3 linked regions of the Xenopus tropicalis genome follow. The protein of the gene in region 3 purifies or fractionates together with the protein of the main gene of each other region. This does not show direct contact. Links are inferred from orthologs where the notes say so. Each region holds a gene or a part of one and is shown on either strand. Other genes may lie near its edges.

Evidence for each region.
Region 1: the proteins of ints6 (region 3) and ppp2cb purify together in Homo sapiens (affinity purification with mass spectrometry; 3 studies listed by BioGRID and IntAct, with this or other methods). This does not show direct contact. The link is inferred for Xenopus tropicalis from reciprocal best matches to the Homo sapiens genes INTS6 and PPP2CB.
Region 2: the proteins of ints6 (region 3) and polr2c purify together in Homo sapiens (affinity purification with mass spectrometry; 3 studies listed by BioGRID and IntAct, with this or other methods). This does not show direct contact. The link is inferred for Xenopus tropicalis from reciprocal best matches to the Homo sapiens genes INTS6 and POLR2C.

Annotation. Positions count from the first base shown.
Region 1 is NC_030677.2:97,482,244-97,485,929, forward strand, and holds the start of ppp2cb (serine/threonine-protein phosphatase 2A catalytic subunit beta isoform), read right to left. Parts: upstream 2,831-3,686; 5' UTR 2,624-2,830; coding exon 2,522-2,623; intron 1-2,521.
Region 2 is NC_030680.2:76,285,154-76,288,909, forward strand, and holds the start of polr2c (DNA-directed RNA polymerase II subunit RPB3), read right to left. Parts: upstream 2,511-3,756; 5' UTR 2,486-2,510; coding exon 2,400-2,485; intron 867-2,399; coding exon 817-866; intron 611-816; coding exon 542-610; intron 1-541. UniProt on the Homo sapiens protein: Core component of RNA polymerase II (Pol II), a DNA-dependent RNA polymerase which synthesizes mRNA precursors and many functional non-coding RNAs using the four ribonucleoside triphosphates as substrates.
Region 3 is NC_030678.2:149,909,903-149,913,658, forward strand, and holds the start of ints6 (integrator complex subunit 6), read right to left. Parts: upstream 2,793-3,756; 5' UTR 2,381-2,792; coding exon 2,270-2,380; intron 2,064-2,269; coding exon 1,986-2,063; intron 1-1,985. UniProt on the Homo sapiens protein: Component of the integrator complex, a multiprotein complex that terminates RNA polymerase II (Pol II) transcription in the promoter-proximal region of genes.

The sequences.
Region 1 (3,686 bases), on a different chromosome or scaffold from region 3:
ATAGTAATGAAGTCAAAATCACATTACATCACCTCACACTAACCAGTGCATTTTGGATCGCAAATGATCATCCCAGTAGCTTCAGCTTCTATAATAAATGTAATATCACTTTCTGTTCAATAATTTTAATGACATGAAAAATTAGCCTGTGGCGAGTCACTGGCAAGCACAAAGTGGTCTAGTGATCAAAATTTATGAGCTGCTGTGGACAACTTTGAAAGAATGGGTCATTACTATTGTAGGGCTTCTACTGTATGATTGGTTTATAAAATAAAGTATTTCTAGCTGTAATGAGTTAGGGCTTTATTTATTTTCTTCTTTAAAAGGGGGAGTAAAATAAATAAAATATTACCTTCTTCAGCAAAGGAAATTGAGAGTTAACAAACAGAAAAGTTAGGGTGAAATGGATTAAAAGGTGCTCAAAAGTCATGCGCTATTTATTACTAAAGTGAAAGGCCACTGTAAATTTAATTTACAGTGGAGGATGTATGGCTTCTTTTAGCTGACCTTACCCTTCAAAGTTTTACTGTTTGGTTTATTTTACATTTAGCCTAGTTATATATACAGTTAGATATAGTTATTATTGTATGTTGTGAAGTACTATAGTCCTATTTCCTTAGATGGACACACATTTCATTTCCCATTATGTCTGGATGCTTGATTTTATGTTGAACGATGCTGTTAACTGTAGCACAGCACCATTAAAGAACCCAAACTTAAAGGAGTAGTTCATCCTAAAATTAGTTCCACATATGGTATAGATGGTAGCATTCTATAACAATTATTAATCAGCCTTCTTTTTTTTTTCTTGGCAGCTTGGAATTTCAACTGATATGAGGATGGTAGGACTTAATTGGCCTAACAACCAGACACAAAAGAGAAACTCAAAATGAAGATGAACAGTAAAGTGTCCCATTAGAATGATGTGCAATGAAAATAAAAACAGCAACACATCTGAGGACTTACAGTCAGTCAATCAGTTTAATGGTTGTCAGGATCAGGAAACCCTGACAACCAAACAGTATTTTCAGTTGAAGGCTGGGGGAATAAAATAAGGATTCTGATAAATCAAAAGCTATTTAAAAAAAAAAAGATAGGTAAATGAAAATATGCTTAGATTAATGGCACACAACGCGTAAAGAAAAGGCCATAGTCCTATCACCCATAATGTTACTACTGAACATAAAGTGCCATATCAGATGGACATGAAGAGGTAACAGAGACACACTGGCCCAATACACTCAAGCAAAAGCTTTGCGCATAGGTCCACCTGTCACCACAAGTATTCAACAGTATTAAGAGAGGTGACACGTGTTTACTGAAAACAGTCTGGCTACATCATAAGTATCAAGCTCTCAAAGGATTAAAGAAAGGTACTCATCAAAAATTAACTTTATATTTGTACCTTTAGTGCAATGACACATGGAGCTAATTGCACCAGCTACAAAATAGTACTGATAATTGTCTCTACGTGTGTTTTAGCAAAGATGGTTCTCAGTACTGTCTATGGCAAAGTATTTTCTGGGGCTTTGTAGCCGCTACAAGTAGCTCTGTGTGCTGTAGTCCTTAAACAGCATTTAGCTGCAAGAATCACTTAACTGTAGTGATTTTCCCTACAAGGAAACACTTGCATTACAGGTGAAAAGTTTCCTCCAGTTTTTGCAATCCATCTGTTTGTATTTTGTAATCTGCTGTTTGAGAGCAAACAGTTGATTAAATGTTATGGATTTAAAGATGCTTTAGCAAACTTTGTGCCTGTTATTACATCATAAAGTCACATCAATGCACTCTGCCAACCCTATGATTATTAGCAAAGATGATAGGGGTACATTGTTGCCCGTTTAATTTAGAAAATAAATCCCTGAGAAAGGAACACTGGCTGTGTTCAAGGCACCCATCAAATTATAAAATCTCACTCTGAATAGTAATTAGCTACAATACACATATATGTTAAAGGAACATTTTAAGATAATTCCACATGTCAAATTGTATTCTGAAAATAAATGAATACTAATGCCACTATTGTAAGCTCTACGGGGCAGAGACCTCCATCCTTTTGTCTCTTTGACCCTTAACTTATTGCAATTGTATCTTGTATTTATTGTTATACTTTAAACTTATCTATTATTATCTTAATAACCCCCTGTTTGTATTAATGTATTCTACTGTACAGCGCTGCGCACATAAGTAGTGCTTGCTAAATAAAGATATAAATACATACACTAATACATTCAAATAAGCAGGGGGTCTTAGAAACTGGAACCAACAGCTGCCAATCAAAAGGGAACTAAATACAATTTTCAAGATCAGAATCCTACACAGTAAATCCCCTGATGTATGTTTATTTGCTGTGTGGACGTGCCTGTATGAACAAGCGAGGCCCCTTACAGGCGTGTGTATGTTTCTGTGCGTAGCATGTATTCCCCCTACGAGATCATGACGGTATCATGCTGGGAGTGCTATACACCTATGTATGTGGGGCTGAGTGTTTACAGACGTTGCTGCACAGGGCCGGTCTCACCTTCTCGCACAGGGTGCGCACTTGGCTCTCGTTGAGTTGCTTGCAGTCATTGAGCTGCTCGATCCACTGGTCCAGTTCTTTAGTAAACGTCTTGTCCTCCATGCCAGAAACTTCCAGACAACCACACTATTCCACGGTAACACACGCTACAAACATACACGAAATTCCGCACTGTGCCGATCGGTCTGCTACCCCTCCTCTCTGCCCCCTCTCCTGTCACACATTCACTAGCACGGCCTACGCCTCCCACCCCCCAACTTCGTGCGAGGCTACGGCCGGTGATGACCGGACGGAAATATTCACGTATTAATAAGGCTTATGTTAAGGTATTGCCTGTCAAAAGGAGGAGGCCGAAACGCGACTATGTCGTTGTAGCTTTCCTCCTCCTCATTCAATTTCACCCCCGTACTTGCGGGAGCGCGCCGAGAGGGGGTGGAGCTGATAAAACGCACAGAGACAACGAATGGCAGACTGAAATGTACATGCGCGACACAAGGCATAACCTGCACAGCGACAGAGCGTGCCCGCGCCCGTAAACTACAGAAGCGTGCACGGAGACACGCAACGTCAGACTGAGAGGCGGAGGGATGCGCGCATGCGCAAGGAAGCCCCCACCTGCAGAAAAAGTTTTTTTTCGTTTTTTTTTTTTCTCAATGATCTTTATTTGGGTTGTTGTGGGTAGAAACGGGTGGAGTAGAGTATAGTGAAAGTGACAGCGGAAAGGCAGATGTGTTCGTGTTTGACACCCCATTGCTATAAAACTGGAAACGTATAGTTGCGGTACGTGTACATGCAACTTGACATAGATGCATAAATATAGCTCGATTTCCTTATAATATAAAGCTGTCTAATATTATAATGCGTTTTGTAAAGGTGTTTTTCATGGTACCAGGGGTGCAAAATATCTGCCTCTGATAATTTTAGGAGTTGAATAGTTTAGTGTTGGGGGACACATTCGCATAGTGAGCAGCGGTTCTGTGTAAAAGTGGAACTGGGTAAAAGAGACTGCCCAAAATAAAAAATGTTTGCAATATAGTTAGGCAAAATGTAATCTATACATACTGGAGTGGGCAGATGTCTGATATAATGGCCAGAACACAGCTCTTTAAAGGGGAAGGAAAGGCTAAGTCACTTGGGGGTGCTAAAATGTTAGGCACCCCCAAGT
Region 2 (3,756 bases), on a different chromosome or scaffold from region 3:
GACAATAACACACTTGCACTATTATTATTATTAAAGAGATACTGACACCAGAAAAAAAAACCTTTTTTATATCTATCATAACACTGTCTTTTCATGAGCTTTATAATTTTGCCATAAAAGTATTTGCAAGATGCTTTTACATTACCTATCTGATCTCCCATGTCCCTCTATGAGGGAGCGGCCATATTTGTGCAGCAGGAGTCCGTTAGCATTAGAAGCTATAACTGACAGGCTGAGAAGGGACAGTCAGGTTGGGAAAACAGTCAGGTTTAAGTAGCAATTGCTAATAAAAGCAAACCTATCAACAAAAACTGATCAACATGACCTATTGGTAACTTTTTATGTAGATTCATAATTTAAAAAGTAGTTTTTTCTTGTCAGTATCACTTATCGCCAACATATTCCGCAGCGCTGTACAATAGCAACTGGAGTTTCTCCCTAATGGCAAAACAAGCTAGACAACGTATTGCTAGTAGTGCAAGTAGCCTTAACTAGAAATATTGCCCTGCTACTCAATGTAAATTTATCTTTAAGTACTTACCAACTCTGTGAGCTATGAACTCATCGTGAAGAACAGAGGAATTTGCATCTATCTGCACCCAATCTATAGCTGTAAAATAAAACATAAACAACAAAAATGTGTTATTTTAATGTAAGGGGCACCAGAATGCATTACAAGGGGTTTTGAGATCTAATGTAATAAAACATTAATGCTCACAAACACTGCACTGAGTGTTTCCTGTTCAGGTAAGCTTTATTGCAATCATGCTGAACAAGGGCCCTTTAACCTTTCTTATGCAGGACAAGAGCACATACCTATAGTAGGAACTTCTGCTATGAACACCCTACGGATCGAGTTAGCAATTCTGAAATAGAAAAAGGTTTATTAGTATTAGATAATTAATGGCTGCTTATACAGAGGAACAAGTGTAACAATTTTTCCTTTTACTCATTATTTTATAGCAATAATACCTGCATATTTTTAGCACTCAAATACACATTTCCTAAAAATGGTTCTATAAAAAATCAAGTGCAGCATGATTACTACCTTACATGGGAAGCAGTGTTCCATTTCTTCTAATTCTAAATTTAGTTTTATGCCTTTGAGGCCTCTTAAAGGAGACATATCCTATAAAAATTATGAATGAATTATAGTGAATTATACTCCTCTAGATATAGAACGATTGTGCTTAATAATGTTGTGTTTCAGACTGATTTATTGAGAAATTCCACAAAAACCCCACTAGCCCCGCCCATCTGTTCCACTTCCTGCTGGCTGAATTCTCTGGATGAGCTGGGGAGCCGGCGGCCCTCCGTACACTGCACTGTAGGATAGGAACCAATCAGCAGCTAGGCTGACCTGATAGGGAACTGAAGCCTGTCTTTGCTTGTCTGAGTGCAGGGCTGTGATTGGCTCTCCCCCTCCTACTGTGCTTCTGGCAGGTACTGTTAGGACACGCCCATTCTTCATTTCACACTAGGGAGCTCCAATAAAGGGGCCATTTTTACAGAGAAGATTAATTTTTAGCACAAACAGAAACCAGAACCGTATATTATTCATAATTGCCTACAAAATTAGCGTTTTTCCCATTTATCCAATATGTCTCCTTTACAAAGTATGTTAGCGATATTGGTATGAAAACATGCAGTTTTTTTTTTTTTAAATGAACCCTTTAGGTGCCAGGCACTATATAATCTACTAACAGACACAAAAGGTGAACTAGAAGTTGCTCCTGAACACATGGGAAACCAAAAGGGTTAAAAGAACTACCAAAAATAAATATTCTCAATCAAAAAAGGTTAAAAAGAAGAATGGGCATCCATGCAAACAGGTGACCCTGAGGGAAATGAAACAGTTTCATACAGAAGCACCAGAAAATAGTGGAACCCAAAGAAGGAGTGATTACATTACATTAACATTTATTTATAAAGCGCCAACATATTCTGCAGCGATGTACAATATGTGGGTTACATACGCCTAACAGCCAACTTGTCACACCTCTATCATGTCTTTAGTTGCCCTTTAGAGAAGAGATGCGTCCAGGAAACCAGTGGTACCCAGCATGACATACGTCATCATATGGTGATATAGTCACACTATTATTTACACTTTTAGGATAATTAGAAACAACAGAATAACACAAAGTAGATACATGACACAATGGTGAATAAGTACCACATCATACCTAGCCGAAGTTGGAAAAATAAAAATCTAAACTCTATTTCCACCTAACCATTCCCTCGCACTTTACCACTCATTATAAATGTGGGGGTCTCAGGAATTGGGATTCGAGAGACAGGCAGTCTGGGGCAGCGAGTATGCAACATGCACACCACACATCGTTCTGAAAAAAGCAATTAAACCCATTATTCTGCCATAACAGTCAAAGGTCTCTTACGCCAAGTCAGTATTTTCCACGATAAACTTGACATTCTCGTCAGTGAGCTCCGTTATCCGCACTGTAGGCTGGTTCGCGTACGGCATCCTCTCAACACAGCAACTTAGAAACCGGAAACCGGAAGTTGAGAACCGGAGACCACAGAGATCAAGCGCGTACAGAAAGGGGTTGCCTTTCGTGGCTACAAACAATAGAGTTTGAGTTCTATATGGATCATTAACGATCAGGATGACTAGTTAAAGGCGGTGTCGGACTGGGGCACCTGGTACCCATCACCTAACATTGTAGATCATGTCTCAAGTATATTGCAACAAAATATGGGGCTTTAGCGGTAAATCTGAAACTTTGGGGTCTAAAAATGCACTGAGCATGGTGCCAACATTTTTATGCCGTTTGCCACACACTTTAGTTATAGTTACCCAGACATACACTTAAGATCACTGCGTTAAATAATTTATGATCACATTTACTCTAGACCTGCAGAAATTGATAATGTAAGTATTAACTTTACACATGCCAGTAAAATGAATGCAGCAAGTAGGTATCAGCACATTTATCTCAGGCATGTCATAAACCTTTCTTCTTTATGCCTTCATGCTGCTTGCCCTGTTCTGTCAAAGACAATTATATCTGTTCTTCTATTGCTCCTTAGATCCTCATTCTCTTACCTGCGCCACCTCTGAAAGTTTTGCCTGCATAAAAAATTAAAGATGGCGGAACACATGACCATTTTTAACTTAAACTCCCATTCAACACGAAAATGGTTTTGTTTCGGGACATAGTCGCCAGGCCTGGTGGGGCCCAACAAGGTGAAGGATAGGTGAGCAGGTGGCTAGGGCTTATCACTGAAGCATGAATTTGCCAGGGCCCAGCAAAGTGCTGGGTGGGTTGGGGCCATAAAGGAGAGAGGTGGGCTGCCAGCAGGGTCTAGCGGGGCCCAGCAGGATATTAGTTGTAATATTGGTGTGTAGGCAGCAGTCTCAGTGCATTGTGTCTGAGTCTTCAGAAAAAGCCAGCACTACACATTAGAACTGTTTTCGGCAATCTGTTGTTTCTCCTACTCCCATGTAACTGGAGGAGTCCAAAACCGGACTTGGATTTTTTACTATTGAGTGCTATTCTGATATCTAATGGGAGCTGCTATCTTGCTACCTTCCCTTTGTTCTGCTGGGAGGGGGGTGATATCACTCCAACTTGTAGCTCAGCAGTAAAGTGTAAATGAAGTTTATCAGAGCACAGGTCACATGGCTGTGGCACCCTGGGAAATGAAGATCATGGCTAGCCCCATGTGAAATTTTTTAAATTAAATATAAAAAAAGTTTGTCTTTTCGAAAAACAGATTTCAATGCAGGATTCT
Region 3 (3,756 bases):
ATTCTTAAACATAACATTTTCAGCTTATAAATAAAGACAAAAACTGAACTTAATAGCAGTTAAATGTTTGCTGTGGTGAACTCTAATTTCACACTTTGATAAATATGCCCCTTAAAAACTTTGCTCACATAGGGAGCACTGGGGACAGGATGTGCAGAAAACTTCTGTAGGTCCTATCCCCAGTGCTCTTTAATGGATGTGCATGCATCCAGGGTTGGGTGAAAAATCCCTTTAAAAAAATATATATTAAATATATATTTATTTATTTATTTTTTTAAATTAAATTTTTAATTTTTTTATTTTATTTTCTATTATTATAGTTATATATTGCACCCTTTTTGATTCAGGAGGACAATATTTCATTCCACTGTGTACTTGTAAGTATATTGTTGGGATGACAATAAAACTCTACTTACTTACTTATATTGTAATGGTAGTATAAGCAACATATAAAAACATTCTCATTTCTAGATAAAAAAACAAAATATATTTGGCACCCATATCAATGTAAAAAATCCCATGGGGAAGGGGTTCAATTAACAGTCTGAGAAATGCTGATTTATGCTAGGTCATGCAAGTGGACAAAGGCTGGTTATTTAAGAACGTACTGGTACAGAACTAAGAGTGGATAATCACACAAGCTAGTTCATGCCTCTGGCAAAATGCAACTAAAATAAAATGTGTTGTTCACATAAAAATAAGAAAATGCCAGAAACGGTAACACACAGTAAAAGAACAGATGCAGGTATTGTGACTGCAAAAACCAGAACAGCATAATAAATCAAACAATAGGACTATGCTCATCAATACTAATAATAATAAAGTGACAGCAAATGAATGAAGTGCCGTATAATAGGATAGCAGCAAACATGACTGTCGAGCACGAACATTAATGCTAAGAGCAGAAAGAAAGTATAACACAAAAGTCTACCCTCAAAAACTTACAATCCATACAAAAATAATAAACAGTTGCCGCCAAAATGCCTTTAATATTATCTTAGTGTTTTTAATAAAGAAATATACTCAGTGTGCATTTAACTGCATTACAAATACTCCAGGTGTGCAACCTACAGCCCGCCAGCTGCTGAACTACAAATGGGGTTCCTTGACAATAATTTGGCTCTCACGTGACAGTGAGAACTAATGACTGGGAATTTGTTTGGTGGACACTTAACTGTTTTCATATGGTAACTCCCTGCAGCCCCCAAGTCTGGTGGACATTTAACTGTTCTCATATGGTAACTCCCTGCAGCCCCCAAGTCTGGTGGACATTTAACTGTTCTAAAATGATCATTCCCATCAGCTTTTCAGACACTGGGTGCTGGGAGGTTAAGGATTGAAGGTTGGACATCCCTTGTTAGTATGTGTGTGTTTATATTGTATAAATATAAAATATATACATATGCACACGTGTTAAAATTATGTATCATTCTAAAAATGCATACAACAAATATAATTTTATATTCCTATGTGTAATTGTATATTGCTTTGATAATAAGAAAAAAATGAAAAACAGATGAAGATTAAGCAGGGACTTAATGATAATATTTTACACACATGCAAAACTTATTAGCTGTTATTGTGCTGAGACCTTCCCCACTTTGCAATAGGCAGATATAAGTGAGACACTAATGAAAATACATTGTTTTTATCAGGAGAGTCACTAGGGCCCACAATAGTCTCTCACAAACAGCAGCCCTGACACTCCAGGGCCCCTATCGTGATCTGCGAAGTTCCCCTTGGGGATGTCACTTTTAACTTGAGTCTCGATCTCCCACAGTTCCTTGCGGCTGCGCTGGGTTACGAGGGGGAGGAGTGGGGGATGTCGGCCATGTTTCTGTCAGCTACTGGATATGTGTGTGTGTGTGAGTGCGTGTGGTGGCTGTTAAAGGGATACATGCCAGCAAGGCTGACACAGACATGGCACACAGAGGGAGGGGGAGCAGTGGTGCCTGCTACATGATGCTGATTATATTTATGATTACCTTGATCCCATAAGGAGGCTCTTCCAGGGTGACCAGCATGTACCTGTCTCCTCTGCTAGCAGGATCTCGGGATCTGAGCTGAGAAACAAGACAGAGAGGAGCAGATGGGGTCAGTAGGAGGGAAGGACAGAGGCAGATAGAAGATCAGAGGAAGGGGGGAGAGCGTTAAGTAGGCAGCTTACAAGCGCCCCCTGAGTTGGGGGTAACCCTAATGGAACAGGGGGGTAGTGGTGCTGGCACCCTGGCTGCTGCAGCTGCTCACTGGGAGGGGGGTACTACTATACCTTCATGAAAGTCTCTACTGCGCCTTTAGCTATGTCCAGGTAGGTAGTGCCCAGGTGGGTGCGCTGGTTCATTGAAGCGGACGTATCTAGCAGAAAAAGTAAAATGGGCATAGTGCTGCCGCTGCTGGTACAGGCGAGGAGCTGCTACATGGGCAGTTCCATTCGCCCAGCACGGGAAACACAAGGGGGCTAAGCAGGGTGTGGGGGAAACAGCAGCGGAGTGTCCCTGAGTCTGCTAGCTGGCTGCCCACAGCCCCATATCCTCTTTGTATGACGGGTCGTGGCCTTCAGTTCCAAAAGGGGAAGGTTCTTTAAGGGGCTATTATTGATGGGGATGGGTTTTTTGCAGTTTGGGACCCTTCTGAGAAATTCTTCTGTATTATATCATGTTTCTGGCTGGAAGGGAAGCTGGCTTGGCTAAGTTGGATTGTTTATGCCCCCCGTGGATGTGACAGAAGTTTGAATGAGTTCAGCACTACTTCCCCCTGCCACAAGCTCTGTCTCCCTCTACTGAACGCTTCCTTTCGCACTCGGAGCTTTTAAAGCGAGGAGGAGGGGTTCGACGGCTCCTAATGCCGTTACGTCAGAGTCCCATGTGACGCGGGACAGGCGTGCCTTATTGGACAGCATGTGCTTCGGCTCATGTATATTCATGAAGGGATTGTGTTACGCGCATTCATTAACCCTATCGGTGGCTGAGATCATGGGGAAAGCGAGTCTCCGCGGGAGGAGTTGGGTTAAAAAGGAAAGAGCGCGGCAACGGGAGGTGTCATGCGCGTTCATGGAAGTGGGCGGGGAAATGCGGGACGCGCGTACGTACGCGGGTTTTGTGCGGCGCGCTTTGCCTTGTGTATAACGGGCGTCGTCGCTGTGTTTTTTCCTCAGTCGTCAGCAGAGCAGCCGAGGGCATGGTGGATGCGGGTTCAGATGAAGGAAATTAATGCTTTTTATTTACGTGCTTGTAGTTAAACTCCTCATTCGCTTTATCTTTATATCCTCTAGTGTACATACGTTTATTTCTGACCAGCCCATATTGGTTTTATACGTTCAGTTCCGGCGTTCTTCTGGCGACTGTCGTTTTTCCCCATGGCCTGTTTCTTGAGCGCTGCTCGAAAATGCTTGCGCGACTGGGAATGCTGGGAAATGTAGTTTAACTGCGGAGTACAGCGCTTTCCTCAGGCCCGTCTTCACAGTTGGACTGCGAGTCCCGGTATTCTCAGTATATAAAGGCTGGGGCGTTTGTTGTTGATCTAATGTTATATCTGTACAGGTATAGGATCCCTTATCCGGAAACCCATTATCCAGAAAGTCTCCCGTAGACTCCATTTTAATCAAATAATTCAGAATTTTAATACTAATTTCCCTTTTCTCTGTAATAATAAAACAGTGCCTTGTAATTGATCCCAACTAAGATATAAATAATCCTTATTGGATGTAAAACAATCCTATTGGGTTTAATTAATGGTTTATTGATTTTTTAGTAGACT